Mus musculus: one gene and its partners. The protein of the gene in region 1 interacts with the protein of each later gene in a biochemical or structural test. Links are inferred from orthologs where the notes say so. Each region holds a gene or a part of one and is shown on either strand. Other genes may lie near its edges. The genes, in order: Khdrbs1, Fgr, Fnbp4, Nck1, Rasa1, Fyn and Hck.

Region 1 (3,772 bases):
GGGAGAAAGTGAGAGTGTATTATTGGAAAGGCTATGGTTCTTGACTAGGTCTGTGCTTTTGTTCAGTGTGCCAAGGTTTTCCACTACTTAGACCTCATTCTCAAAGCACTTGTCTCCAAGGCCTCCTCATCTGATGTGGCTTCATTAATGTATACTGCTATTTGTTGTCAGTCTCTTGAGTCCCTGATGTGTTAACAGTTTGCTTAACAGATTTAATAAGGTCTTCATTCAGTTCACTATTCTGGTATTACTGTGCAATCAGGAGATGGTATTAGGAAAATGACTAAGGTAAGTCTGCAGTTAAGAAGTCTGTGTCCTAGACTCTTAAATGTAGAGTTAACCACCAGAAGCTGACAACATCCAGTGTTAATGAGTTAATTTCTAATGAGGCATACTGAAGGGCTCTTCTGGTGGAGATTTGTTTATTCAGAGTCTGATTTAGAAGAGGTGTATGTCACAGGCTTGACTATTGATGGCATATAATTTTCTTTGTTGTTTTTTGTTGTTGGTTTTTGTTTTCTTTATTCGATATAGGGTCTCATTGTGTATCTCTGCCAGGCCTAGAACTCATTGTGTAGACTAGGCTGGTCTCCAGCTTGCAGAGCTCTGTTTGCCTCTGTCTCCTAAGTGCTCTGATTAATCTTTAATCATGCTTAGAAAATGGTATATAATTCTTAAGAGTCACCTGATTATGGAACAGGTAAAATATCAGTTATCTGAACTGTTCTTTAATGTTTGGGAATCCCCCTCCCTCCAGCTTTGGATTTTTTCCAAATACATAATGAGGTTTCTGGAGGCTGCGACTCCAGTTTAAATAAACCCTGGTTTTTGTTTTGTTGAGAACCTTTATTGTTGCCCAGGCTTGCCTTGAATTTGCTGAGTAACAGAGGGTGCCCTTGACTTCATTGATCTTTATGCCTCTCGATTGGTATTATTAAAGGCTTGCTCTGCTACATTTGATTTTGTGTGTTCTGTATCCAACCCTGGGCTTGTTTATGCATGTTAGGCAAGCACTCTACCTACTAAGCTATGTCTCCAGCCCCTCAAAATTAATTTATATGTACAACATACTTTATAGTAGACTGAAGTTTATCTTAATTGACAAATGTGACAGTTGGAGACTCCTGAGGAATGAGTTGGGCATTCGTACTTAACTATCTAATTGAAATAGCAATGATATGTAAGGTCAAGGAAAGTGGAGAGTTGCCAGGGACATTGCTCTAATTATGTCATTCTTTTTTTTTCTTTTCTTTTTTTTAAAGATTTATTTATTTTATTTATATGAGTACACTATAGCTTTCAGACATACCAGAAGAGGGCATCAGATCCCATTACAGATGGTTATGAGCCACCATGTGGTTGCTGGGAATTGAACTCAGGACCTCTGGAAGAACAGTCGTTGCTCTTAACTGCTGAGCCGTCTCTCCAGCCCTAATTATGTCATTCTTAAAGTAGTGTTCAAAATATATAACAGTTCATCTGGTTTAAGGTTGAATGTTTCTTGTGGGAAATGGGAGGATTTTATGTTCTCTGTATGTAGAGTAGAAAGCATTTGACACAGAAGCAGGATTACTGGGTTCAAGCCTCACAGCTCATGTGAAGATGGAAAGGCACTCTACGAGTTGTCTTCTGATGTCCACACACCTGCTGTGGCATATACATGCATGCACAATGGCTCTTAAAGATCTCAACTATGAGAAAAACAAACATAAAATGGTATTTAATACCTGGACGGTGAGAACAACATGGTATTTGGGAAAGAGGTATGGCTTGGCAACAACAGAAAAGAGGATCTTCCCCTTTGCCCTTTGTGGCCACATTGAGAATTTTACTCGGGGCTTTGTGTGTAGACTAGGGATATATTCTACCACCTAGCTTTACTCCTGGCCTTAGCATGTCTTGTAAGGAGCAGAGTTCACTATTGTACAATGAGATCTTGGCAGGGTTATTTTGACAGTTAAACTGAAAAATCCATACAAAGCTTGTTTATATAGCAACCAATATATAGAACTTCATTAATGGTAGTGTCTTCTAGTCTAGGAAAAGGAAATGTTTGCAAAGAATGTATTTGAGACTAATCCAGGCAGTGAGTTATAGGTTGTTTGGCTTTTCTTGAGTAAGTGGTTTGTTTGGGGTTTTTTGGTTGTATTGTGTTGTGTTTTGTTTTGTTTTGTTTTGTTTTTAAGACAGGGTTTCTTTGTATAGCCCTGGCTGTCCTGGAACTCACTCTGTAGGCCAGGATGGCCTGGAACTCAGAAATCCACCTGCCCCTGCCTCCAAAGTGCTGGGATTAAAGGTGTGTGCCACCACTGCCCGGCTTCTTGAGTAAGTTTTGTGTGTAGAGGAAGAAATTGATCAAGGGAGAGTTAGGCAGGAACTTCTTTCTGAAGAACTATATTTATTAGTAAGGGTCTGCTGCCAAGATTTTCCTCAAAGAACTGATAGTGTAATTGGACATCAAAGAATTTTGACTTGCGACTTTATCTAGGCTTTCAAGGCTACTGTTTTTGGGAGTGATATTTTGAGATAGGGTCTCATCTCACTGTGTAGTTCTAGCTGTCCTAGAACTCAAAACCAGAGACTAGGCTGGCCTCTGTGTCATAGAGATCCGCTTGTGTCTACATCCAGGAGTGCTGGGATCAAGATCTGTGCCATTATTGCCAGCTTCAAGACTCTTCTTAAGATCCAAGGCTTGGTGGGCCTTGTGACTTTTAGGAGGAGGAGCAGATGTTACACGTATTCTTTGTTGTCTTTAATTCCCAGGATATGATGGATGATATCTGTCAGGAGCAGTTTCTAGAATTGTCCTACTTGAACGGAGTACCTGAACCCTCTCGTGGTCGTGGGGTATCTGTGAGAGGACGAGGAGCTGCCCCTCCTCCTCCACCTGTTCCCAGGTAACAATAGTTGAAAAGGAAATAAATACAGATTTGACTGACTGAGGAGGGTTAGGGTTTAGAAGTACATCAGGTATGGAGCTCTCGATCTTAGCAGTCTGACCAGAGTCAGGTGCTGCAGTCCTGCTGAAACTTTGGGGCTTTTAATTTGGGAAGTCCTAGCATTTAAAAAAAAAATCACATATCTATTCATCCATCCATTTGTGGGTGGTGGTGGTGGTGGTGGTGTGTGTGTGTATGTGGGGGGAGAGTGTGTGAGCATGGATATGTTAGTTAAATGACAAAGTAGTAGGAATCCTATCATGTTGGTCTTGGGGATTGAACTCAGAATGTCAGTCTTACTCAGCTGGTGTGTTTACCTACTAAGCCATCTCATTCATCCCCAGTTGCCTTTTTTCTTTTTTTTAAAAAGAATGTTGGGCTGGCGATATGGCTCAGAGATTAAGAGCACCAACTGCTCTTCCAGAGGTCCTAAGTTCAAATCCCAGTAGCCACATGGTGGCTCACAACAATCTGTAATGGGATCTGATGCCCTCTTCTGGTGTGTCTGAAGACAGCTACAGTGTACTTACATATAATAAATAAATCTTAAAAAATAAAAAAGAATATTAATCACCCCTGTCTCAAAAAAACCAAAGTAGATATTAATCACTATGTAGCCCTGCTACGTAGATGAAGCCCATCTGAAACTCAAAAGAGATCCACCTGCTTCTGTCTCCCAAGTGCTGTGATTGAAGTCATAGGCCATCATCAAGCTTGACTATATGATATGCTCTTAGAATTAAAATTCATTGTGGTTAATATTTATTCAGAAAGTAGACCTGTCTGAGGTGCTGTGATCCACGATTGAGCCCAGAGAATCTTCTGGTTTAGGT
Region 2 (4,359 bases), about 3.3 Mb from region 1:
CCATCTCCTCTAATCTCTGCCTTCTCCTGTCCTATCTCCCTGCCTTCCTCTGCCTCCCCCTCCTCCTCCTCCTCCTCTTCCCTTCCTCCCTCCTCTCAGGTAGAGAATCACTACTCCTCTTTGGCTGTCCTCCAATCCACAGGGCTCAAGCATCCTCTTGAGTAGCTGGGAGTGCAGCTGGTGCGGCTGTTCCTTTTGTATCTGGGCTCCCTATGGCTGGGCTCCCATTGGCCACGATATACATTTATTTGTTAATTGCACACATGGATCAATGGCCAAGGCCAACTTAGAGGATGCTCTATAATGGTGGCAGTGCTATCCAGGCAGGGTAAAGCCACCCTCCCACAGTCCCTGAACCTCCACTACATTTCCTTTCTTCCTCCTACACCCACTTCATATTTTCCTAAGAGAGAAGCACTTTTATTTGGTTTTTTGAGACAGAGTTTCTTTGTGTAGCCTTGGTTGTTTTGGAACTCACTCCATAGACCAGGCTGGCCTCAAACTCAACAAAGATCTGCTTGCCTCAGCCTCCCAAGTGCTGGAGTTAAAGGTGTTTGCCATGGCTCATTGAGAGAAGCATTCCTATCTGCATCCATCACTTGCTGACACCGTGTGTGTCACCATGATCCTCCTGAACTTGTACTTTAGGGCGCTCACACACAGCCCCCTACACCCCTGTCTGTACACAGAAGCACACCTGACTGCATAATGTGTCCGAGCTGTTGATTCTAAACCCAGTCACGCATCGTCATCGCCTATCATCAGTATAGCCCCGGGGACACCCACTTGAATCTTCCATGCCTTAAGCCCTCACCCTCCCACAAACATTTCCAATTCAACCCTAGCTCTCCCTCCCCAGGCAGGGGGATTTCCTGGGTCTCAGTGCACCTTGGTTTTAGAGAGGTAATACTGGTAATAACTCTTGGTTTTAAAGGGAGGGTGGGTATCGGGCTGGGGGAGTATAGGGAGGGCTCTCCTAGAGACACTGTGATTGATTAAGGATTCTCCTCAGCTTCTCTAAAACTTGTGTGTGGCAGTAGCCTGATGGGAGCTGATTGTTGTGAAAAACAGGTACCCAAAGGCAAGGGCCTTATCTCCACCGCCCAGTTCCTAAAGATGAGGCGGCAGGGTATAAGTGACAGGCAAAAGATCCCTGGCAAATGTAGTGACAGTAGTGTAAAGGCTACAGGCTATGTGAACTTGGGCCAAGTTATCCTGACCTGGCTCTGTGTTTTCCTACCTAGGAGATGAGTGGGGAGTGGGAGCCTTTGGGATGGCCAACCCCCCACCCCCTTGGTATCCCACTCTAGTAACTAAAGGGACAGGTCCCTTTGGCCGGAACCTTTGGGAAGGAGCTGGGGCGCAGGGACAGCGCTGGGAGAGCCCATCCACAGCGGGAAGTGGGAGCCAGCGGACTTTGGATCTGGGGGCCCCTCCTGGCTTTGGGCAGCAGTCTAGGGGCTGAGGCGTGACTTCGACTTCTCTGGCTGCCGCCTCCTCCTCCGCAGTCACCAAAATAAGAGAAGTCCGAGACGGCTTCCTCCTCCCTCCCCAGAGTAGGTAGTAGGGGCAGAGGCGGGTAGCACCTCACTTTACCCCCCACATCGCCTCTCCTGGTTGCTGGAAGTTAGGGTTGGCTCGCCCCAGATCGAGTCACCCGCAGCTGGCTCCCTTGAGACCAGGTAGGCGGCCAAACCCGGTGGGGGCTGGTAGGGCAAATGTTGCCCCGCCCCTAACCGTCCTCACCTTGGAGGGAAGATTTGGGGGTAAACCTGAACTTTGAGAGCTGAGCAAGTTGAAAGCGGGAGATGGGGGTGGGGATCCCATTCAGAAAGGAAATGAAGAAGGAAAACTAAGGAAAGCTGGAAAAGGCTGATAAAAACCTAGGAGAAGGCCGAGGCAGTACGGCGAAGGCAGACCAAAAATTCCCCCTAAAAGTCTAAATGGGGAAAGAGAGGGAAACTGTGTTGTAAATTTGATAAAATTTGGGGAGAGGGCTGAAAGTACAGGAAGGCACTGTGGGATCCCCCAAAAGCGTCTAGGGAGAGCCCTGAGAGGCTTTCAGGAGGAGAAAAAGGAAAGAAGCTGAGGGGGTATGAGAGAGGGGTAGTAGGTGGGGAAACTGGAAAGGGGGAGGGGATACTGAGGAAATCGGTCGCGAGTTCCCGAGAAGGGGGTCTAGGAGAGTGACTTCTGCAGAACTCGGAGTCCAGAGTGCAGTTCTGGGGTCTCAGAGGCCGGCTATCTGGATTCCTCAGAGGGAAGCGGGGAGTCTGCAAACTCCCCCCAGACCCTCTAGCTACATCAGTGGGGCAGCGGGTTCCAGACACCCTGGGGATTCCTTCCAGCAGCTGGAGGCGTGGATCTGGGTTTCCTGGGGAAGACCTCACCCTGGGGCATCAGACCTCCCTGGGTGCTTTTCCCTATCCGCAGTGGCGGTCAAGGTTTGCGTCCCTGTCGGGATCCGGGAATTGCTGGCAGCCCCGACGGAAATCCTGCTTTTGACCGCCAATGCCCGCAGGGGCTGTTTCCATGGCAACACAGGGCAGTGAGGCCAGTTGGCTTTGGGCCGCTGCAGGCTCAAGGCTGGCAGCCAACTTTGGTCCCTGCCTTCGTCCCCATTTTTGGTCCTTGATCCGGGTGTGTTGCACCACAGAGGGAGTGAGAGGGTGCCGCTTGGTGTTCAGGGGTCTCCTGCCTCAGAGACATGTTCTCTTAGCAAGAATGGGCCTTTAATTGCTATGCAGACCTCAAGGAGAGCTAGCTTTCTCTGGACTTTTGCTTTTCTCATTGGAACTTTGGGGAAGAAACTAGCCCTCCCCATACCAAAGCTGTGCCTAGTGGCTCATGCCTATAATAATCCTTGCATCCAGCAAACAGAGGTAGGGAGGTTGTCACGAGTTCAAGACCACCTTGAGCGATATAAGCAGAAAGACAGGTGGGGTGGGGGAAACAGAAATAGAATGGGAAGGGGTGGGGCGGGGAGGAGAGGGGAGAATGGAGGAGAAGGCAGATGAAGTTCTATCAGATCCAGGCCAGCTGGCTCTACACAGTTCTTTGCCTTCTCAAAGCATGGAGGACCAGAAAGCTTCGCTGACAGGGCCTCTGAGAACCAGCACACAGTTGGCATCTACTAAATGTCACGTTTACTAGGGCCCATTCCAAGAAGGTTAGCAGGGTTCGCATCTGTACCCCACTCTCCAGGTGGCCACCCTACAAGCAAGCCTTTTGTAGTCTAGAATTGGATGCAATGAGCATCCTTCCATTTGTAGTGGGAAGGTGGAGGGGGTAGCCAAGCTGTGTGGACCCAAGAGAGGGGGAGGTGGAGGGGGGCTCCTGCCTATATCAGCTCCTGCTCCCCAGCAGGCTTGAAGCTGTGAGTGAGATTGTGTGAGGGTGCTCCCCAGTGTGCTGTGGGCTTGAAGTGAATGTGTTCACGCCTGGGTGCTTGCTTTTGTGTGGTTATTGGGGGTGGGGGGTGGGGGCTGCTCGGAAGCTACCTAAGGTTGAAGTGACAAGGGACGTAACCAGCCCTGACAGGCTGGGTAAGGGACAGGGAAGACAGAGATGAGGAAGGAAGAGCCAAGTCTCTTCCACACAGCACATTGGGTCAGCCGATGGTAAGGAAAGCAGACTGCCCCATCCCACTCCCTCAAGACTAAGGGATGAGATTAAAGGCTTGGGCCACCACAGACAGCAGGGGTCTCTCTCTCTCTCTCTCTCTCTCTCTCTCTCTCTCTCTTCCTGGATATTCGAGGCAGGGTTTCTCTGTGTAACCTTGGCTACCCTGGAACTCTGTAGACCAGGTTGATCTCAAAACTCACAGAGATCCGCCTGCCTCTGCCTCTTGAGTGTTGGGATTAAAGGCATGCACCACCATCACCATCATGAGGCTCTGTCTTTTTAAGACCGGGTCTCACTGTGTAACTCCGGTTAGCCTGGGACTCATTGTACAGACCAGGATGGTCTCAAACTCACAAAGATCCACCTACCTCTGTCTCCCAAGTGCTGGGATTTAAGGTTCAGACTGCTGTGTCAGGCCAGATAGACCCAGTTTTACCCACCACAAATGGGGGAAACTCAGCTGACACCTTAAGGACCGTGTCGGGGGAAGAGCTAGGATAGTACAAAGATGGTGTCAGGACTGGACCAGCTGTGACTCTCAAAAAAGGATGGTGTAAAATGAGAGGAAGTTAGTGAGCCATGAGAGCCTCTGTGAGGGAGAAGGAGGTATCAGTGCTCAGTGAAAGGACGGTGGAGGATCCTGAAAGCCCACAGTCAGGGCTCTGAGTGTATGCGGTGAGGGATGGTGATGCCTTCACACCTTAGACTCCCACTTGCCCCCTCAGCCCAGGACTG
Region 3 (3,772 bases), on another chromosome or scaffold:
TTAAGACACAACAAAAGAGAGCATCAGACCCCATTACAGATGGTTGTGAGCTACCATGTGGTTGCTGAGAATTGACCTCAGTACCCCTGGAAGAGCAGTCAGTGTTCTTAACCACTGAGCCATCTCTGCAGCCCAACTATATGAATCTTTATTTTTGTTTTGTTTGTTTGTTTGTTATGATTTTTCGAGACAGGGTTTCTCTGTGTAGCCTTGGCTGTCCTGGTACTCACTCTAGACCAGGCTGGCCTCGAACCAGAAATCCACCTGCCTCTGCCTCCCGAGTGCTGGGATTAAAGGCGTGCGCCACCACGCCTGGCAACCAGCAATATGGATCTTGATGGCTGTAGACCTTAGCCACTTCAGGAAGGCTGAATGAGTTGGATGGGGTTGGGATGTTTGATTGATTGTTTGTTTTTGAGATGTCTCTGTAGCTGTGGGTGACCTGGTACTGGCCTATGTAGACCAGGCTGGCCTTGAACTCATCTCTGTCCAAATGCTAAAGTGTGCCACCATGACTGCTGGTGGTGAGGTTTTGGAGGCAGGAAATTACTTTGTAGTCCATACTGGCCTGAAACTTGGATCCTTATTTTTCCTAAGTGCTAGAATAACAGGCATCCCACCTCTCCCCATGCCTGGCAACTGACTTTGGCGCCTCTGGTTCTAAAAGCTTGTCTTCCTGTTTCACCCAATTTAGTCAAGAATCCTGCTCATTCCAAGTTTGATATTTAGCTTTTGTAGAAATTGAAGTGTTTTTGAAAGAAAAGAGAGAAGGAAGACAGAAACCATAAGGTAAATGCAGCAGTAGAGCAGTGGGGTTGCTGATGGACAAAGTGGGCAAGAAAGAGTGCTAATACTGTTTTTCAGGTGTGTCCTGCAAAGACAATAAAATGCTTTGGACCTCAATTGTTTTGACTTAATTTCATGGAGTTTTTGTTTTGCAGCAATTGGTGCTGAAGATTCCGAAAAAATAGATGAAATTTCAGACAAAGAAACGGAAGTAGAAGAGTCTTCTGAGAAGATCAAAGTCCAGCTAGCACCTAAAGTGGAGGAAGAGCAGGACCTGAAAGTACGGAGTGTGGGACTTGGCTCGGGGTGGGTCTGGGTCTGCTGCATCTACTGATGCTGCCCTGAACCTCGGGCTCCTGCTGTCTCAGTCTCCTGAGTGCCAGGATTATAGGTTCAGTCATTAAACTGCAGTTAAATACTGTTTGCAAATCATAAACTCTACTATGTCCAGACCTAAGGCTTTCACTTTGTTAGATTAAAAGATTCCATTTAAGGCTGAAATAAAAACTTTGATGCTGAGAAATTATGTGAAAATTATTAATATTTACTTTCTTTGAGATTAAGCTTTGACTGGAAAGAATGAATCTACTGATATAGGCTTCTCAGATTTATAAGTACTAAAGAGAGGAAAAGATTTAGTTCCTATGTGAAATACTTGTCTTTAAACAAAGACAAATTTGTTTCCAATTGCATTTGTAACCTCATAATAAAATCTTCTGGTTCACAAATGATTTATAGCCAGGATCCCATGAGATAGAATCAAATCTGAACTGTTTGGGTCTTTGTTGTAAAGCAAAGCAGCATTTGTACATGCACATCCTTCATACATGTTAAATCCTTCTAGGCTGCTTATAATACCTAGCACTATGTTAGGATTTGTGCATATCATATGTATATGATTGCCTGAATGGTTCTTTTAAGACATTCTCTAGCTCAGGCAGTCTTAGAACTTACTCCTCCAGAGCTTAGACTTCTTGAGAGGATTATTGGCTTTTACTACCACACCTGGCTTACAGTGCATTGAAGAATATGACCAAAAATGTATATGCATCTTGAGTATAGGCAGATTTGTCAATTTTGGGTTTTTTGTTTTGTTTTGTTTTGGTTTGGTTTTGGTTTTTTGAGACAGGGTTCCTCTGTATAGCCCTGGCTGTCCTGGAACTCACTCTGTAGACCAGGCTGGCCTCGAACTCAGAAATCCGCCTGCCTCTGCCTCCCAAGTGCTGCCACCACCGCCTGGCGTTAATTAAAATTTTTAGTCTGGTTGGCTCAATGTGGCTCTTTAAATTTAATTTGTTGTGTTAAAAAAAAAAAACAAAAACCCTGTAGCATAGTATTTTTAAAGATGTTTGATCACTAGTGTTTTATGCAGCCATGTAGAAGGAGTGGAAGGGGATTATTTATTTATTTATTTATTTATTTATTTTGGTTTTTCGAAACAGGGTTTCTCTGTATAGCCCTGGCAGTCCTGGGAAGGGGAATTTTAAGGCTTCTGCATGGGGCTAGTAGGTGATAGTAGAATATCAATTAAGATGTCCTTCATGCAGCTCTTTGAGGTATAATTGACACATTTGCCATGTGTCCCATTTAGATGGTTTGCTTTATCTCTATATAGATATAAAATATAGAGAGATACTGATATTATTACAGAGCCCGCTAATAAGTTGTTACCGTACTTTCTTTGTGTAGAGGTGTTAGAATATTTGATCTGAACAAATTTCACCTGTACAGTATGGTTGGGTTGGTTTTTGTAGATTGATTGATTGGTTAAGAGTACAGAGTTAACACTCTTCACACACACCAAAAGAGGGCGTCAGATTCCATTACAGATGGTTCTGAGCCACCATGTGGTTGCTGGGATTTGAGCTCAGGACCTCTGGAAGAGCAACCAGTGCTCTTAACCGCTGAGCCATCTCTCCAGCCACTCACATAGTGATTTTTCCTTCTTGTACCTAAGCTGTCATTGGAACACTCTGGTATGGAGACAGACAAGTTGACTCACTGGCTAAAGACGTGGGCTTACAAGTCTCATGTCCTGGCTCCAGTCTCCAGGAGTCTTGTGGTAAACAAACGAAAAGTGCTCTTAACTGCTAAGCCATCTCTCCAGCTCCTACAATATGGTATTATTAATTATAGTCTCCATGCTGTACATTAGATTCCCAGTTTTATGGATGAAAGTTTTTACTCCTTATTATTCCACCCTCTCAAAACCACCACTTTGTGTAAATTTGATTGTTTAGGATTAGGATCTTTGTTCCGCTGTTGAAATCCATGTGTGCGTACATAAATAAACATTTTAGGGCTGGTGAGATGGCTCAGTGGGTAAGAGCCCCCGACTGCTCTTCCAAAGGTCCGAAGTTCAAATCCCAGCAACCAAAAAACATTTTATCCATTCTTTTATGTGATTTTTTTTTTTTATAAATTAGAGGCCTAAACATAACTAGTTACAATCATCTGTCTGTAGACAATAAATCCTACTACCAGTAATAATAAATGGGAGACTATGCATAGTATAGGAAGGAGTGCTGGAGTTCTGGGTTTAATTTTTCTGTTCTCTGTTACAGTTTCAGATTGGAGAACTGGCAAATACCCTGACAAGTAAATTTGAATTCCTAGGGATTAATAGGCAGTCCATCTCCAACTTTCACATGCTGCTCTTACAGACTGAGGTAATGCAGCTGGTTTGGGTGTGCATGGCATTTTGTTGTTGTCTTATTTTTGATTTACTTGTAGCCGTGGTTGGCCTAGAGCTTACTATACAGAGCATCAAAAATCCTCCTGGCTCTGTCTCCAATGTGCTGAGATTAAAAACTTACTTAATTTTATAGAAGTTTTATTTTATTCATGTGTCTGTGTGCCATATGTGTTCAGATACCTACAGAGGCCAGCAGACAATGCCAGGTCCCCTGACCTGGAGGTAAAGGCATTTGTGAGCTACCTGTCATGGGTGCTGGGAACCAGACTTGGGGTTACTGCCAAGCCAGCT
Region 4 (4,572 bases), on another chromosome or scaffold:
CTGTATGATAGGGACACTAAACTAGGTCATTCTAACTATATAAGCTGTCAATAGCTTACTGGGAAAGGTCTTAAGATATGGAGGATTCTTATTTCCTTTATTACCCCAAATATCCTCCTTTGGAGTTAATGGGGGTCAGCTGCCTGTATGTTTTTGCTTTTGAGATAGCATCTCTCTATGTAGCCTTGACTGTCCTAGGATTTGCTACATAAACCAGGGTGGCCTTGAACTTGCAGAACTTGAACCTGTCTCTGCATATATATATATATATATATATATTTGTCTTTTTGTTTTTTGAGACAGGGTTTCTCTGGGTAGCCCTGGCTGTCCTGGAACTCACACTCAATCTGTAGACCAGGCTGGCCTCGATCCACCTGCTTCTGCATGCATCACCCCCTTCTCTTCGGTATGTATGTTTTTAAATATATAATTTGCATTACTTACTTTTGATACTAACAATAGGCAGAGTATCCTTTCCCCAGTTTTATGTTCTACTTTTCTCAACTAAACTCAGGATTAAAAGGGGCTACAGGTAACTTGTATTTTACCTAGGGCAGGCCACCCATGTATTTATTAACATGCAATTAAGTTAAAAGCAGAAAACAACTTTTTAGGATTTACAGGTAGGGCTTGTAGTATAGCTAAAGGAAGGGGCTGAGATTCAGTGATTAAGAGCGCTGGTCTTCCAAGGGGCCTGAGTTTGATTCCCAGCACCCACAGGGTGGTTCAAAACCATCTGTAACTCCAGTTCCAGAAGATCCTATACCCTCATTTGACCTCCATGGGCAGCAAAATTATACACAAGTATAACACAAGTACACCAAACACTCGAACACACAAAGAATAAAAATGAATTTTTAAAAGATGAAAGGAAGCTGTATTAATTCCTCGATTGTTGAGGATGATGTGCTAGGCACGAGGTGGGCGTGGGTGAAACAGTTCTTTTAATAGACTTTGCAATCTAGGTATATGGGTGCAGCTACGCTGGAGGCAAAAACTCGTGTTTCCATAAAATTACCTAACCTAGAATGTTTCTTTTAGGTGCCACACCCACACTAAGCAACAAAGGTGATTGGGAAATAGTGAGGCAGGTTATGAGTCGCTGTAAGGCAAGTTAGGAAGGAGAGCCGATTTATTGATGCCTTCCTTGGCAGGTGGCTGGGACTGTGCCACTGCCATACTCACCCCTAGGGCAGAAGTAACTGTCCTTTTCACAGGACTGGAAGCCGGGAATGAAGGCTACCCACGCGCCAGGGCACTCGGAAGTTGCTCGCAAAGCTTATTTTGGTTGTGGTTTTCATTAACAAACATCTTACATTTTTCCCCCGAGGCTTCATTTTCTTTGTCGCTCCCTGTCCCTAAGATCTGCAGCTGGTCGGCCCTTTCAGATGCAGGCACCAGAGTAGTCTGGGTTGAACTCGGGACCGCTGTTCGACATTAATGAGCGATTTAAAATGAATGACAGGTTTTAGTAGCAGTGGGAGAGGCGGAAAGTAAGCAGCCACCGAGGAGGCTAGGGGAGAACAGGGCGGTGGGGCCCGGCGCTCCTCACCTTCTGTCCAAAGGCCGCGCAGTCTCAGCTCAGGGACCACTCAGGGCCCGCGCTTGATTGACAAGCCCGCTCGCCCAATCCCGGAGCGGCGCATTCCGCTGAAGCGTCAGGGGCGGGCGCAGGAGGCGATGGAGCCTATTAGATTGGGCGTGGAGCGGGTTTCCTGCCCGCAACGGTCCGCCCACCGGTTGCGCGCGCCCCGCCCCTCTCCGAGAGCTACGCGGCGGCGCAGCACAGGCCTCGTGCGGTAACGGCATCCGGGCAGCCGCGGTGGCGTCCCGGTGCGGTCCTCAGGTGACTGGAGCCGAGGGCTCGGCGGAGGGAAGGTGAGACGGCCTCGCTCGCGTGCGGACACACGCACAGTCCTTTCGGTCTCCCGGTCGGTCCGCTCTGCCTGCTAGTCTCTAGTCGCTTCCTCTTTCCCCGGCGAAGTTGGCCCGGGGGCGCCGTCTGCTGGCGGCGGAGCGGAGCGGAGGGGGCGGGGAGGCCGCTCGGCGGAGCTCGGGTGTCCGCGGTGCAGCCCGGTGACCCCGCGGCCTCTGGCCTGAGCTGCGAGCGCCGGTCGGGGAGGCGGGCAGGCAAGTGTGCGGCGCGCTGCCTCGGCGGTTCTCCGCAGAAAGCCCTGTCGGCGGTCTGTGTCGGTGTCCGAGGCCGGGACGGTAGGCTGGCAGGAAGGGCGCTCTCACCTCCAGCCGCCAGCCTGAGGAAGCCGAGAGGGGGGACATCCTCGGGGCGCGCCCTCCCCTCCCCCTCCCGTTCCGGAGCAGGAGAGATGTGGGTGTCCGGGGGCTGTTGAGGTGGGGTTGGTCCAGGAAAAGCAGTCCTCTGGGTTGGTTTCGTACTGTTGTCGTACGGGTTTCCGTGCTAGGTCGGTTCAGTGTTAACAGCTGGGTTGGAAGGAAGCTGGTTTTTTGTTCAGGGTTGAGGACCGTAACATGACCGGTTAACGTCGAGCCGAGCTGAAGTCACCCGAAGAAAAATACTGCCCTTAGTTAGGAAAGAATTCACAGGAGTTAGGAAAGAACGAGATGAAGAAAACTTCCTGACCCCATCTTGGGTGGGGAGCAGTGAGAATCCAGGGTTCGGCCAAAAAAACGGGTCAAGTTTTGCAAGAAGCGTTCCATTTTCAAAAGCTTTGGTAGCTTGATGATGATCAATCAGCCTTAACGGTTTCTTAAGCACCTGGAAATCAATTGTGTGCTTTCAGCCTTTAGCGACGTCACAACATGAACAGAGAAATAGTCCAAGGAGAAAGTTTTGATTGATCATTTTCAGTCTTGTTTTTAAATAGATATTCTCTTCACATCGTGATAGTTAAGTCAAAGCGTATGCGTTGGTTGATTAGTACTTTTTTTTCATCGTGGCCACATGTGGTGCTTTCTCTGGGAAAACTTCTGTAGGAATTGGCTAGAGTAACTAAAGCGTACATTGTGTTGATGTCTCCGCTGTATGTATGAGCATTATGTTTGAAAAGATTTGCCTCCCCAGCAAGCATTTTAAATTGTTTAGGTTTCCAAGCCCAACAGATCCGTGTATTAATAAGTCGACACGTTAATGTATTGCCTTATTAAACATTGAGTGATAGTTTATGCTGCTGATTTTCTAATTTGAGAACTTCGTTCTAGAGTTCAAGGCTTGTTGTGATTATTATTGTAAATAAATTCCTTCTCAGGAGAACTTGAAAAAAAATGAATTAACTCTGGCAATGTGGAAGAATGGATGCTTTCAATGCCAGAAAATCAAATGATTATTTCACTGTTAAGTAAAATTGGAGGAAACGTGAACTGAGCATTTAACAAATCCAACAGTTTGACGACAATTTGACAGGCCTGCCTGATTCTCACTTTAACCTATCAAGGAAATAGAACTTCAAAGTCTTCCCTTCACAACTGATGCCCCACGCCTCCAAGCTGTCTTTCATTAGCGATACATTAGTAGCATGCTTTCAGGAACCCAGACATAAACCTTAACATTGTACTGTTTTTTTGTAGTTGTTTTCTTTAAAAAAAAAATCTTACCTTTGTATTCTTATATATTGTTTTTCAGTTTCTGAACTACTCAGTAACTCTAACTGGATTTTCTGCCTGGAGGATCTCAAATGTGTTCTGCCTGTGCTGATCTTAAAATAATACTTTGAACATATTTTTCACTGTTTAGACACTAGTAATATCTTTCCTCTAGATTCCAGTCTTTTAAGGGTTTATTTTTATTTTATGTGTTTTGTAGTGTTTTGTACGACATGTGCTGTGGACTCTGGGGACAGAACAGAGATCCTCTGCAAGAGCTCTTAACCACTGAGCCATCTGTCCTAATACAGAAACATTCTCTGCAAACTACTAACTTTGCAAAGGAAAAGTTCGCTAAGCTTTCCTTCTTCCTTAATTTCCTTCCTCCCTTCCCCGCCCTCTCTTCTCTTTCCCTCTCCTGTCTCTTTTGCCTTCCCTCAGTTTTGGGGTGAGACCAATGGCTTCTCATAAACCTTTGAGGTGTATCATCAGTCTAAAGTTCTATTTTTTAAAAAAGTGATTGGTTATTATATTTTCTACACCCAGAGTCAGGACAGCTTGTGAGGGGTCAGTTCTCTGTCCCCCACAGAGGTCCCATGAAGTGAACTCAGGTTTTTAGGCTTGGCTGTAGGTACCTTTAACTACAGAGGCATCTTGACACCCATCCAGAGTTACATTGTTTTACATATTGTTAAACATTTTTAAAAAGTGTGTGCTTGTATGTATGTTGAGGGCATGATATGTGCACAAGAGGCAGGTGCCTGAAAAGGGAGGCCAGGAGAAAGTGTCAGATACTTACAGGGGGTCACAAGCCTCCTGTTGTAGGGAATCAGCCTTGGATCTTTTGCAAGAACCATACTTGAATTTAACTGGAGACATCTTTCCAGTCCCTAGAAATTTAATTGTGATTTGAGTGAAGGTTGTCAAGATTTTCTGTTACCTATGTTAAACTGAGTCTTTGTTTGTTTGTTTCGCACGCCCTCTTTCTTTTTAAGTTAGCGCACAGAGCGGTGT
Region 5 (3,772 bases), on another chromosome or scaffold:
CTATAAATCTTGCTGAAATAATTGTCTTAATTTTACATAATGAGTAAACAATCTTAACTTTCAAGAATATTGTGTAATCATGGAGCATTATAGTTTTTGTATGTTATTTGACTCCTAAGTTATTTATAAAACTTATAATCAAATTCTCTTTTTTTAAAAAGCTATTTAATCATTCAATAGAATCCTTGGTTTTTAACTATAAAATGTTTGGCTATTACTGATTATATAGTTTCTCTTTGAAATAACTGCAAATTATAATACAAAAATATTTTGTGGACTAAAAGTTTTAGAAATTAGTATTAGAAAACAAAGATATAGTTTGAATCTCAAATAAGGGTTTCATTTTTATATAATTATTGTCAAGCTAATGCCTTCTCATTTAATTCTTATTACCACACATTTATTTATAAAATAATGTGAGAAAATGAATACAATTAATAAAAAGGAAGAAAGTTATTTAATAGAAGTTAGTAGTATTGAAGTGTAAATTTTAGAAAATTTGTAAATTTCAACTCTGATCATCCAAGGTTGCAGTCTCTAACTTTATTTCATCTAATTGTTCTGAGACTCACTTAGATAGTCCATATGTTATCTTGGTTTCTCCAGAGAAGGTTTATTTTAAGAATTGGAACAGATTCAGGAGACTCATTTCTGTAATTTTAAGTACGGAAGCCTGGAGAGACCATGGAAGTCAGAGTACATCCCACTCTGAGGACAGAAGATAAGAATCAGCTCAGAGGAAACAGTGAGGCCAAGGGGGATAAGGAAAGGAAACATTCATCTTACTTTTATTCTGTTCAGACAGTTAGTGGACTGGATGATAACTACTCTATGGAGGAAAACAAGCTACACTAGCATAATGTATGAATTCAAATGTTGATTCATGTAGAATAGTCCAGAAGTAATGCTTCATATAGGTTGACATTCCGTTAACTTGACACATAAAATTAATCACCAAAGCCCATGAGATTGGAATTATTTTTCATTGTGACTTCACAATAATAGTGCTAACGTTTTGGGTATTAAAAACTTCAGGTACTTTAAAGTAACAACCCTAAAGTGATCAATTCTGGCTAAATAAAAATAGCTTCATTTGATGTCTGAATGAGCAAGCAAAACACATTGTGTTCTGATCTTTGACTAGGCATCTAGAACTTCTTGTAGTAAACAAGAAGATAAAACAATTCCATATAGGTGTGATGGTATGGTCCTGTTATCTTAGTAGCAGGGAAAGTGGTTCTAGAAAGATGTATTTGGTTAAATGATAAAATCAGCTTCCATTTATCTAGGAAAATCTTGGGTATTATTAAGGAGGACTTTAGAATTGAGATGGCATTAATTTTTGGCTTTTGGATATAGAGTGTTTTATAAAAGTTCTCCTTTGTATAAGCTTTGTTTTTTAAATTTGAGGAAAATAGAGTCATTTAGGCAAAAACGAAAGCATTTATGTGTGTGAGAGAAGGATTGATTTAATAGAACTAAGGTTTATAAGTATTGAGACCATACTGGAAGAATATTGAAAAATATATGAAGATACCTTATAGGTGTATGGTCAGTGGCAGCATCCAACCAGAAGGATATTTAGAGTCATTCATTTAATCCTGGAAGGAAAACTGCAAGGAATTCTTGGTGATTTTATATTGACATACAGCCAACTGAAGCCTCCTTGATGGTGTAGAGCCTGAAAACATCCAGGTAGCAAAAAGGAAACTAAGTAGTGCACATCCTCTCTGAACTACATAGCAGGGAAAAAAGCATAGATGCCTTTTAACCATGTCTGGGTGCTGTACTCTTTAAACAATAGGCATCTGAATCAAACAAATTTAAGATGTAATTATAGATGCTAATTAATGCTACTTTGTTTCCCTTTCTAAAGGAGATACATATAAATATAAATATATATGTTTTTATATTTTTCAATATTCTTCCAGTATGGGCTCAATACTTAATAAACCTTAGTTCTATTAAATCAATCCTCTCAAACACATATATAAATATGTATATATGTTTATATATACATATTTATATATATCTTAAGTGTATATTGCTTTTTATTACATCTGTCATACATATAATAAACAACATTGAAACTTGGAAACTTTAAAATTCAGTTTTCTTGGAACTACTTATAATACATAAGTAATTGTTTACTATTTAAAGGAATTTTAGTTTGAGTCTAATATAGCAAGTAGGTAGTAGATAGAGGAATTCTAATTTGAATATAATCCAGCAAAGCAGACTCTATTACTAAACCTATAATTAAATTGTACATATAATGAAATTAGGATTCAGGTTTACTGTCTTCAGTTTCACAAACAAAGATGCTAGAAACAGCATAGAACTTTGTTTTTTAAGTGTTTTTGCATATTTCAGATATAATATCTAATGGTTTAGGACTACTTAAATGTTCATTTTTAAGATAGTAATGGCATTTGCTATTGTAGTTTTTTAAAAGGAGATATGTTCATTGTTCACAATGAGTTAGAAGATGGATGGATGTGGGTTACCAATCTAAGAACAGATGAGCAAGGCCTTATTGTTGAAGACCTAGTGGAAGAGGTGGTAAGTTTCATTTGTTCTTCTAAATTTCAGATCCCAAGTTCTTTTTTTTTTTTTTTTTTTTTTCCATTTTTTATTAGGTATTTAACTCATTTACATTTAGATCCCAAGTTCTTTATAAAAGTTTAGAAGTCTGTTTTCTGGGTCATTAGACAGAAATAATTTTCTCTTGTCAAATGCTTAAATTCATCAAATGCAAAGAAATTTTAAGGTGTATTTGGTGTTAATAAATGATTATTTGTAAAGAAATAAAGTATGTTAGTATGTTATAATACATATCTGCCTTTGCACAAAGTACTTCAATATTTCTATCACTTGTACTTATTTCGATAATTTTTTTGTGCTTCTTTTCTTCATTAGGTATATCTGACTCAGAATTTTAAATAGTTGTATGTTTGGTATAATTTTTCAAATATGTGTATAATTCTAATAATCTTAGAAATTTTTAATTGTATTATTCATATATAACCCCAAAGTTCTACAGTTTGAATATTCCCCTTTGTTTTCTTTGCTATCATACATTATTATTTATCTTAGTACATAATTTAAATCATCAATATATTTAGCAAATTAGTACAAATTAGCACTCAAGCAATGTTCATGCTTTACAGACAATATTCAACACCACCAAAATGTATTAAACATTATAATTTTGGAATTTACATTTTCCTCTTAGATTTGTGTGGTAGAATAGAATGGCTTTCTGTGATCTTTTATGGAACCCCAGAACTATGTATGCCCTGTGTGGAAGATGGTAGAGTAATTTGTTTTGCTGCTAATTGTTTTGTCTGCTTATTCTGACAACTAGATCTTGATTCACATGCATAAAACATACTGAGGAAAGTTGGAAGGAGTTATGGAAATTATGTGATATATCCTGTATTCATAGTCACAAACATAATGCAAGATCTAGGATTATAACTTCCAGTTCTTTAAATAGCATTCCGAATTCTACATTGGAAGAGGTATACAGACAGGAACAATCAGATTCAAGCATCTTATAAATATGTTAGTTTTCCTATAAATTTTTAGATTTTGTTTATGTTAGACTTCCTTTTGCCTATTATACACTAATTTGAATTATGCACTCATTGAATGTTTGATTTTAGTCTTTTTAAATACTTAGTGAGGCCCTAATTAAGAGAAGTCCTTGTATACTTTTTTTTTTTCTTTCATTATCTGTTCATTGAAAACTCTGTATAAACTGTTAGGA
Region 6 (3,772 bases), on another chromosome or scaffold:
CTGTATTGCTAACATCTCTGAACACTGGCAGGATAGCAAAAGTTGTCTTTGTCCTGTTACAGAGTGGAGATATATCTGTCTCTTTCGTATGTGTGTGTGTGTGTGTGTGTGTGTGTGCGCGTGCGCATATGGTTTGTAATAATTATTAATCAGAATAGTCACATAAATGAGGCCTGCAGAGCAGACTGGGGCTCCGATGATTGGTGTGGCTAATGCTTGCACGTTTACCAGGTGCCTACTCACTTTCCATCCGTGATTGGGATGATATGAAAGGGGACCACGTCAAACATTATAAAATCCGCAAGCTTGACAATGGTGGATACTATATCACAACGCGGGCCCAGTTTGAAACACTTCAGCAACTGGTACAGCATTACTCAGGTAACCCCAGTGCCGTCACCGTCACCGTCACCGTCACCGGTTAGAAACTGGAGGCTGTGAGGGAGGAGGAGGAGATACGGGACAGAGTCACTAGGTAGAGCTGTCCTCTGCCCGCCCACCCCCACAGTCAGACAGACAGATGGAGTCCGGGGTTCTGTTGCTCTTCTGCCCCAGATAGGATTTTCCTCCTGTGTTTTCCAGAAGTTCCCCCCAGTAGAAGGCAGTAGTTTAAATCTTGAAAGCTGTATTTGTATATTAATTTTCATAATAAAAATCCTTGCACGTTCTTTACCTTTGCCTTCATTGCCATGCAGAACTGTGAGAGGAAAGGAGGAAAGGAGCTGTCCCTAGGCAGGCTCAGACGGCCCCCAGGGAGCCTCACTTGATCCTTCACCGCAGCAGAGGGAAGCACATTCTTGCACTCTGTAGAAGAAAATCTGTGCTGCTGCAGGGTTCCCTCCGCCCCGCCCCCACTCCCCCCCCCCCCCCAGCTTGCCTGCTGAGGCCACAGCTCCCTTACCTCCATCTCCTGGACTTTCTTGGTTTTTTGTTTGTTTGTTTGTTTGTTTTTGTTTTTTCAATTTTTAAAGACTGGGTCTCGCTATAGCCCTGGTGGCCTCCAACTCAGAAATCCCCCTGCCTCTGCCTCCTACTGCTGAGACTGAAGGTGTGCGCCACCATACCCGGCTACTGTGATGACTTTAAACAAAGATTAGACTTTGTCTTTACGTCCCATAATCCTGTTCTTCTGCTGTTCTTGGCCATTCAGTTATTGGGTGTATGTGCGTTCATGTGCGTCTTATGTAAATATGTAGCTCTATGCGCAGTGTTTAGTGTGTGCCGCTTGCCCTCCTTGGTTAACAAGTGTGTCCTGCTAAACAATGCATGTGTACATGACCCCTCCTTTTTTCCAAGGTAAGGTCTCACTTGTAGCCCTAGGGAGCCCAGTATCCACTTTGTAGCCCAGGGTGGACTTTCAGAGTTTGAGCAATCCTCTAGTGTCAGCATCCCAAATGCTGGGATTACGGACGGAGCCACCACACCCTTTTTACCACCATTGAAAAATACCTGTGCTGTTTCTGCCACACCAAAGAGACTTGTAGCCTTTTAAAAATAACAATACGAAATGCCTATGTACTGATTCTGGCCACTGATGAGCAGTTAAGAAATTAACAGTGGCTGAGCCAGTGATTTGGGCATTAGCTCTCTCACTCTATGTGGATTCTAATGAAATACTGAGAGAAATGGAGCAGAAAACCTCCTTGCACTTCAGTGATATACACAAAACGCCTGTATGTTATAAGGATTTTTTTCAAATGCTGAAATATATTTCATTACAGGCAAACATCCGCAGGGTCCCCAGGGTTTGGATCATTTGAAAATAGTGTGCTGGAAAGGGCACCTTAATAACATCATAAAGCTGAAGGAGGGAGCCGATGTGAAGCACCCTAGACGAGTTTTAATCTCAGGGAAAAAAATCCATCTTGAGTTAGATTTGTTTTTATATTGGCTTTTCCTCTTTCCTCTTCTCTCTTGCACATAGAATGCCTTTGAAATACCGACACATAAATAATTTCCTGCCTAAACATCTCAGAAACAGATTTAAAAAAAAAAAAAAAGGAATGAAAAGTAAGTTAAGAATTCCCAGAAAAGAGACAGCCACAGTTTGTGCTTAGAATCCAAGAGGCTTCCAGGGACGTAGGGGGCTTTGGCCCCCTCGGTTCAGGGTCTCTCTGGCCCCCATCTTTCCCTGCCTGCTTACTCTCTGTTGGCGTTTAGTCAGTCTCCCCATACCTTTGCTAGATTCTCAAAGGAATATTCTTTTCAAAAAGAAGGGGTGGGGGAAGACCAAGTTCCCAGTAACCTGAATGGAAGCTACTGTTTCCCTGCTTTTCATGTCACTGAGTTTCTGTGAATGTTGTTAATTTCCATTACTTCTTTAAATCCAGACTCCTAAATTATGCATAGAAAGCTGTTTAAAAGGTCGTGTTTTTGTTTTTGTTTGCTTTTAGTGGAAAATTGCAAAAAAGCAATGTGAGCACACAGGAGCAGTAGAGTCAGAAGGACTGCAGAGAATGTGACATCCTCTCCCGCTGCAGGTGTCCTCCTGAGACCGGCTAGCTCTAACAGACCAGAGGTCTGTGGGAGGCTCCTATGCCAAAGTCACATTTTAAACAGACATTTACCAGGGAGAGTCCCTCAGTCCCTAGATACCGGAAGGGACAGGGACAGTTTTTATTTTTATATGTACTTTTTGAAAGTAGCAAGGGCATTTTGAATTTGAGGCAGTGAATACGAGTTCATTAGACTAAAGTACACAGAAGCCAAAGCAGGCCGTGCCTGTGAGCAGCGAGCATGCCCGATGGTACAGCGGTGTCCATATCTGACACATCCTCATCTGCCTCCAGCAAATGTTTGCTCATGTGCGTCGAATCTCCTGTGGCCTGTGCGTGTTGTCGTTACATATTCTGCTCTTCTCTCCCTCACCGCTGCCCTGCTCCTCCAGAGAGAGCCGCAGGTCTCTGCTGCCGCCTAGTAGTTCCCTGTCACAAAGGGATGCCAAGGCTTACCGATCTGTCTGTCAAAACCAAAGATGTCTGGGAAATCCCTCGAGAATCCCTGCAGTTGATCAAGAGACTGGGAAATGGGCAGTTTGGGGAAGTATGGATGGGTATGCTGAGATTCAATTACTCTCTTATTAGCTTCCTCGTTTGGAAAATCCCAAACATCAAGATGGAAGGTGGAAATAAAGATATTTTATGATCAGGACAAACAGACAGTTTGAATTATTCAACTTTTATTTGGAAAAATTTGGAATCTCTCAAAGAGAGCTAGAAACAGGCAAGAACTACAGCTGTCTCCAGTTGTGCTACAGTGTTCCAACCTGGCTCAATGTTGCCGTCAGGGAAGTCACCTTCCATCTTTCCTAGTGCATGCATGATTATGGATTATAAGGACTGTTTTCTTTATTAATTCCCTTTCCTGTAGAGAAAGCTGATGGTTTGTGTTTTAACTTAACTGTGGTTTCATCAAGTTGTACCCCACAAACTTCTGGATTGGCTAAAGATGCTTGGGAAGTTGCACGTGACTCGTTGTTTCTGGAGAAGAAGCTGGGGCAGGGGTGTTTCGCTGAAGTGTGGCTTGGTAAGGCAGAGGGCACATTCTGTTTTGGCTGCATCTCAAAGCCAATGAAAAGGACAGTTTTGAACAGAAATGTGTATGTGGCCGTTGGGACAAAGACCCTTAACCTTTGTGACTAGATGGGCTCAAGCCACCCAGGTTTGCAGAAGTCAGTGGCACCTCGCTGTGTTCACCTGTCCTATTTCATGTGGCTCATTAAACACCTGCAGGACAGGAACCCAGTGATGGTGACGCTTTCTCTTCCTGTGAA
Region 7 (4,323 bases), on another chromosome or scaffold:
AACTGCTACTGGGCCTAGCGGGTGGAACTCTAGAGCTGCTAACACCGCTCGCGCTCAGAATTCATACTTAAAACATAGTACTGCTAAACGCATGCCTACATGCACGCGTAAGCGAATGAATGAGAGATACTGGTGGTCTGGCCTGGCTAGAGGAGGGAGGACTCCTGTACGTTTCTGCAGGTGTGTGTTGCAGTTTAGAGAGTGTTGGTCCCTGTCGTTTTGAATGATGTCTCAGGCTGAGTGGAATATGCCATGCAAACAGGACCTCAGTGGTCTGCCAGTAAGACTTCCTCTCTTCAACTTGGGAGGTCCTCTGAGCAGTCCCATATTCAGCCCAGAATAAGGCAAAGAACTCCCGCGGGCGCCAGACTTTGCATGGAGTTTGAATAAGCGGTGGGTGGGCGGGTGGAGGGAAAACCGCTGCATGTGGGAGGGACCGAAGTGGAAGGGCGGTGGAGACCCACCAGAATCCTAGAGGGAGAGGTTAGACTTATCAGGGCGTGGTTAGACTTAAAGGGAGCTACATTCCTTCTGCGGCTGGTTTAGGATCTTTGAAAGGAAGGATAGGATCGGTTGATTGCTCCAGTGCAGGATTTAGGACCTATGGGATTAAGGTCTCGTAGGGGGCTGGTGGCTGTAGTACAAACTACGGAGAGAGAGGCCCTGGATTCCATTCTCTAGAACACACAAGCGCGCGCGCGCGCGCTCTCGAGATTAAAACCCTTTCAGAAAATTTGATTACAAATCTAGAGAATTTGTAGGGGTTAGGACTGGGAACAGAATAGAAAGTGAGATTGAAAATCTTTCCCCAGGAGGAGGCAGATGGTTTTGCAGGTAAAGACGCCTGGTGCCAAGCGTGGCTGCTTGAGTTCAGTCCCCGGAACTCGGAAGGTGGAAGGTAAGATCCTAGTCCTCCAAATTGTTCTCTAACCTCTACACCGCTCTGAGGCTCCAGGGTACTTACACACATACACGGAAACAATCAACCAGTCAAACAATAAACGTAAAATATTACAATTCTTTAGGGAATCCAAGGGTATTTGGTCTCTTAGGTAGGGGTCCAAAATCTCTGGGGATAGGGTTTAGAATCCTTTGGACAGGCTCATTACATCATGGGGGGCTTAAACGCACTAGTGGGGGAGGGGGACTGGGAATCTTGGGAGGGCGGGTCAAACCTTGGTGTCTGAGTAAGTCCTTCAAGGACTGGTTAGCGCCCTTGAGGACAGGGTTAGCAAAGAAATGCTGAAATTCTTTGGAGGTGAATTTAGAGCAGGAGACAAGAGAGCCAGAGTGGGAGTTAGGCTCTTAGAGGGCGGAGTCGGGGTATTTGGGGGCGGGGTTTGCATCACCCAGGGTGCGGCTAAGGCGCCCAGATGGCCAGTGAGCGCCACTGGGTTGCGGCTCCCAGCTTGCACTCCCCGCGGCGGCTCTCAGACGGGTGGGAGGGGACCAAAGTCGCCCGTGAAGGGGGCTCTGACCCGTTCCGAGCGCCAACGCAGCCTCTGTAGCCCGCAAGTCTTCGTCGCTTGCTCCGGGCTCTGAAGTCCGGGGCCACCAGGGGCCGCAGCGCTGGGGGGTCGGTCTAGCTGCGAGGATCCGGGCTGCCCACGAAGCGAAGGGCGGGCGCCCAGGTGAGTGCGGGGTGAGAGGGCGGGAATGGGACACACCCCCGTCCCCGAGAACGTGCAGACCTCGGGCTCCAGGGATCTGAGATCCTGGGCGAGCTGTGGGGGTGCCGAGGAAGGAAGAACCCGTCCTAGGAGCAACCGATCCCCGGCGGTGGGATGCGCAGTCTACGAAAGGTGGAGGGTACCCAGGTGGCCAGGTGAGGCGAATTGCCGCCACCCAGGGCGACCCTGGGATAGCCCTAGATAGAGGAAGCTCAGGCAGGGGAATGGCAGTGCTGAGCTGAGGCTTCTCTGTCTAACCAGGTTCCCCTTCTGCACACACACACACACACACACACACACACACCAAGAAGAAGAAGCTGGAGGGGAGGGAAAGGCCCGTTCAGTTCCCATTGATGGTGGGTGGGTGGCAGGTCACGCAGGTAGACAGCAGCCATGGCTAAAGGAACAGCCCGGCCAAGACAAGCCCATGCCTGCCACACCCAGGCCTGGCTATAGGTGTATATCTGAGTCCCCTCTTTTACATCTTCCCCTGCCTTCCCAGCTGAACCCCTAACAGGCGTACATCCAACTCCAGAACCTCTTACACAAAGACCACAATCTACCACCATCTCCTCTGTGTGACACTGGGGCATGTCACTGGCTACTCTCTGGATTCCAGCTTCCAACTCTGTAAAATGGGCTGTTTTACATTCATCTGAAGCTGAGTTGTCCAGAGAAGGGGAGCAGTGCTGCTGGGTACTGGAGAGAGAGCCTGGTTTGTCTGTGCCTCTGTTTGCATAGCTGCAGGATGGAGATGGTAAGAGGACAGGTTGAATGTTCCCTATCCAAACTACACCTGATCAGAGGGGTTTAGGATTTCCGAGTGTGGCAGAATTCTGTATGTCAAGTGCACAGCGAGGCATCCTGGAGTGAAAATTAGGTCTTAAAGAGACATTTGTGTATGTTACACGTGCTTCTGTATGTGTTCACTGGTTGGTGTGTACTCTGGGGTTCCTACACACGTGGAGGCCAGAGGACTCTATGTTGTTCTTCAAGCAAAGGCCACCTTGCTTTTGGAGACAGGGTCTATCATCGGCCTGGGGCTTTTGCTGGGTAGGTGAGGCCGGCTGATTAGTGGGTCCCAAGGGTCCTTCCTCCCAGCTGACTTTTTTCAGGAGTTCTGGGGGTTGTAACTCAGTTCCCCCTGTTTGCAAGGTACTCACTTTACCAACTGGGCTATCTTCCTGGCCCGAGATTTTCACACATTTCATTCTCATCCCTCAGAGATAACTAATGACACATTTTTAATGGCTCCTCCATTTTTACATCAATTGATAGCCTCAGATCAGGTGTGGACTTTCCCACTTGGACCATCCTGTCGGTGCCCAAAATGTCTCCGATTTTAGAGCATTTCGGATTTAGGCTTGTGGAAGTTCCCTTACTTTTGAAGGTGACATTAAACTGAAGGAAAGGGAGCCCAAGAGGTGACTCTGCATCTAAGAGCACTCACTGCTCTTTCCAAGGATGCTAGCTAAGTTCTCACCGATCGCTCACAACAACAGAAACACCTCACAGCTGCCTATAACTCTAGCTCCAGGGAATCTCATACCGTCTTTTGGGCTTGGTCTTGTAGGCACCTGCACACATGTGATCTCTCTCTCTCTCTCTCTCTCTCTCTCTCTCTCACACACACACACACACACACACACACACACACACAATCTGAAAGAGGGGCGGAGAAGAGAGAAAGATGGCTGAAGGAAAACTTTCAGAACCCTATTAGATGTTCTTTCCACTGTTCCCGTCCAGCCCGAGAGATTCTCACACCAGCATCACCAGGAAAGGGTGTTAAAATGTGCATTGCTAGGGCAACCACCAAAGGGAGGCCTAGGGAAAGATACTGAGAACTGGCAACCTCCGGGCTGCTGATGCTGCCCAGAAATCTCACTTTGAGAATCACTGCCCAAGCCTAGGACTGACCCAGAGAGGCCTCACAAGAGAGCAGTTGCTCTCTAGTGCCCTTCTCACCATGCCCCTTCTCTGGAGGAGGAAGGGTGCTGTTTAGTGGAATATGTGCCCATGTCCCAGGAACTCACCACCCAAAATTAACTAATTCACTAATGTCAGTGTGGGGGCATGTTTGCTTCAGACTTTAAAAAGTAAAATGACTAGGTGTAATGGGTAAAATCAAAGTCCCTGGTTTGGTTCCCTCTCAGTTCTCTCTTTCTACCTCTATAGGAGACACTGCTGTTGAAAACCAATCCTTCCAGTCTGTGTCTCCATAAACAAATGTGTCCTCTGTGGTGTAAAGATTATAGCAGAGCCCGATGTAGGAGCACACCTGCAACCCCAGAACTTGGGAGTAGAGGCAGGAGGAGCAAAAATTCAAGGTCATCTTTAGCTATAGCAAGAGTTTGGGGCCAGCCTGGGCTATGAGACCCTGTCTGTAACAAAATAAAACTTCAGTCAACAAGGGATGTATCCTGAAATCCTGGCAGATGCCTGAACTGTAGATAATACTGACTTCCTGTATATCTTTGCTTATATATGAAAGCCTTTCTTTGATAACTCTGAATTGATGGCATCACTAGTCCTGTGCCTAGGGTTATGATTTAAACAACAAGCATTGCCTGAATACATGCATAGAAACTAACGGGTAGGCAGCACATACTGCGTGGATCCATTGGAGAGCAGGGTGATTCCATCCTGGGGA

The links.
Region 2: of the proteins of Khdrbs1 (region 1) and Fgr, one has a biochemical effect on the other in vitro, tested with the Homo sapiens proteins (2 studies listed by BioGRID, with this or other methods). The link is inferred for Mus musculus from reciprocal best matches to the Homo sapiens genes KHDRBS1 and FGR.
Region 3: the proteins of Khdrbs1 (region 1) and Fnbp4 form a complex in vitro, tested with the Homo sapiens proteins (2 studies listed by BioGRID and IntAct, with this or other methods). The link is inferred for Mus musculus from reciprocal best matches to the Homo sapiens genes KHDRBS1 and FNBP4.
Region 4: the proteins of Khdrbs1 (region 1) and Nck1 form a complex in vitro, tested with the Homo sapiens proteins (3 studies listed by BioGRID, with this or other methods). The link is inferred for Mus musculus from reciprocal best matches to the Homo sapiens genes KHDRBS1 and NCK1.
Region 5: the proteins of Khdrbs1 (region 1) and Rasa1 form a complex in vitro, tested with the Homo sapiens proteins (2 studies listed by BioGRID). The link is inferred for Mus musculus from reciprocal best matches to the Homo sapiens genes KHDRBS1 and RASA1.
Region 6: the proteins of Khdrbs1 (region 1) and Fyn form a complex in vitro, tested with the Homo sapiens proteins (4 studies listed by BioGRID and IntAct, with this or other methods). The link is inferred for Mus musculus from reciprocal best matches to the Homo sapiens genes KHDRBS1 and FYN.
Region 7: the proteins of Khdrbs1 (region 1) and Hck interact in a biophysical measurement, tested with the Homo sapiens proteins (2 studies listed by BioGRID and IntAct, with this or other methods). The link is inferred for Mus musculus from reciprocal best matches to the Homo sapiens genes KHDRBS1 and HCK.

What each region holds. Positions count from the first base shown.
Region 1 is NC_000070.6:129,721,770-129,725,541, reverse strand, and holds part of Khdrbs1 (KH domain-containing, RNA-binding, signal transduction-associated protein 1), read left to right. Parts: intron 1-2,763; coding exon 2,764-2,897; intron 2,898-3,772. UniProt on the Homo sapiens protein: Recruited and tyrosine phosphorylated by several receptor systems, for example the T-cell, leptin and insulin receptors. Once phosphorylated, functions as an adapter protein in signal transduction cascades by binding to SH2 and SH3 domain-containing proteins.
Region 2 is NC_000070.6:132,972,589-132,976,947, forward strand, and holds the start of Fgr (tyrosine-protein kinase Fgr), read left to right. Parts: upstream 1-1,506; 5' UTR 1,507-1,682; intron 1,683-4,151; exon of another isoform or gene 4,152-4,359. UniProt on the Homo sapiens protein: Non-receptor tyrosine-protein kinase that transmits signals from cell surface receptors devoid of kinase activity and contributes to the regulation of immune responses, including neutrophil, monocyte, macrophage and mast cell functions, cytoskeleton remodeling in response to extracellular stimuli, phagocytosis, cell adhesion and migration.
Region 3 is NC_000068.7:90,762,480-90,766,251, forward strand, and holds part of Fnbp4 (formin-binding protein 4), read left to right. Parts: intron 1-941; coding exon 942-1,066; intron 1,067-3,350; coding exon 3,351-3,455; intron 3,456-3,772.
Region 4 is NC_000075.6:100,543,301-100,547,872, reverse strand, and holds the start of Nck1 (cytoplasmic protein NCK1), read left to right. Parts: upstream 1-1,738; 5' UTR 1,739-1,768; coding exon of another isoform or gene 1,769-2,416; intron 2,417-4,572. Other genes in the region: Gm46139 (synapsin-1-like), read right to left, coding at 1,769-2,416. UniProt on the Homo sapiens protein: Adapter protein which associates with tyrosine-phosphorylated growth factor receptors, such as KDR and PDGFRB, or their cellular substrates. Maintains low levels of EIF2S1 phosphorylation by promoting its dephosphorylation by PP1.
Region 5 is NC_000079.6:85,251,216-85,254,987, reverse strand, and holds part of Rasa1 (ras GTPase-activating protein 1), read left to right. Parts: intron 1-2,444; coding exon 2,445-2,562; intron 2,563-3,772. UniProt on the Homo sapiens protein: Inhibitory regulator of the Ras-cyclic AMP pathway. Stimulates the GTPase of normal but not oncogenic Ras p21; this stimulation may be further increased in the presence of NCK1.
Region 6 is NC_000076.6:39,526,550-39,530,321, forward strand, and holds part of Fyn (tyrosine-protein kinase Fyn), read left to right. Parts: intron 1-231; coding exon 232-381; intron 382-2,887; coding exon 2,888-3,052; intron 3,053-3,369; coding exon of another isoform or gene 3,370-3,525; intron 3,526-3,772. UniProt on the Homo sapiens protein: Non-receptor tyrosine-protein kinase that plays a role in many biological processes including regulation of cell growth and survival, cell adhesion, integrin-mediated signaling, cytoskeletal remodeling, cell motility, immune response and axon guidance.
Region 7 is NC_000068.7:153,107,124-153,111,446, forward strand, and holds the start of Hck (tyrosine-protein kinase HCK), read left to right. Parts: upstream 1-1,344; 5' UTR 1,345-1,569; coding exon 1,570-1,631; intron 1,632-4,323. UniProt on the Homo sapiens protein: Non-receptor tyrosine-protein kinase found in hematopoietic cells that transmits signals from cell surface receptors and plays an important role in the regulation of innate immune responses, including neutrophil, monocyte, macrophage and mast cell functions, phagocytosis, cell survival and proliferation, cell adhesion and migration.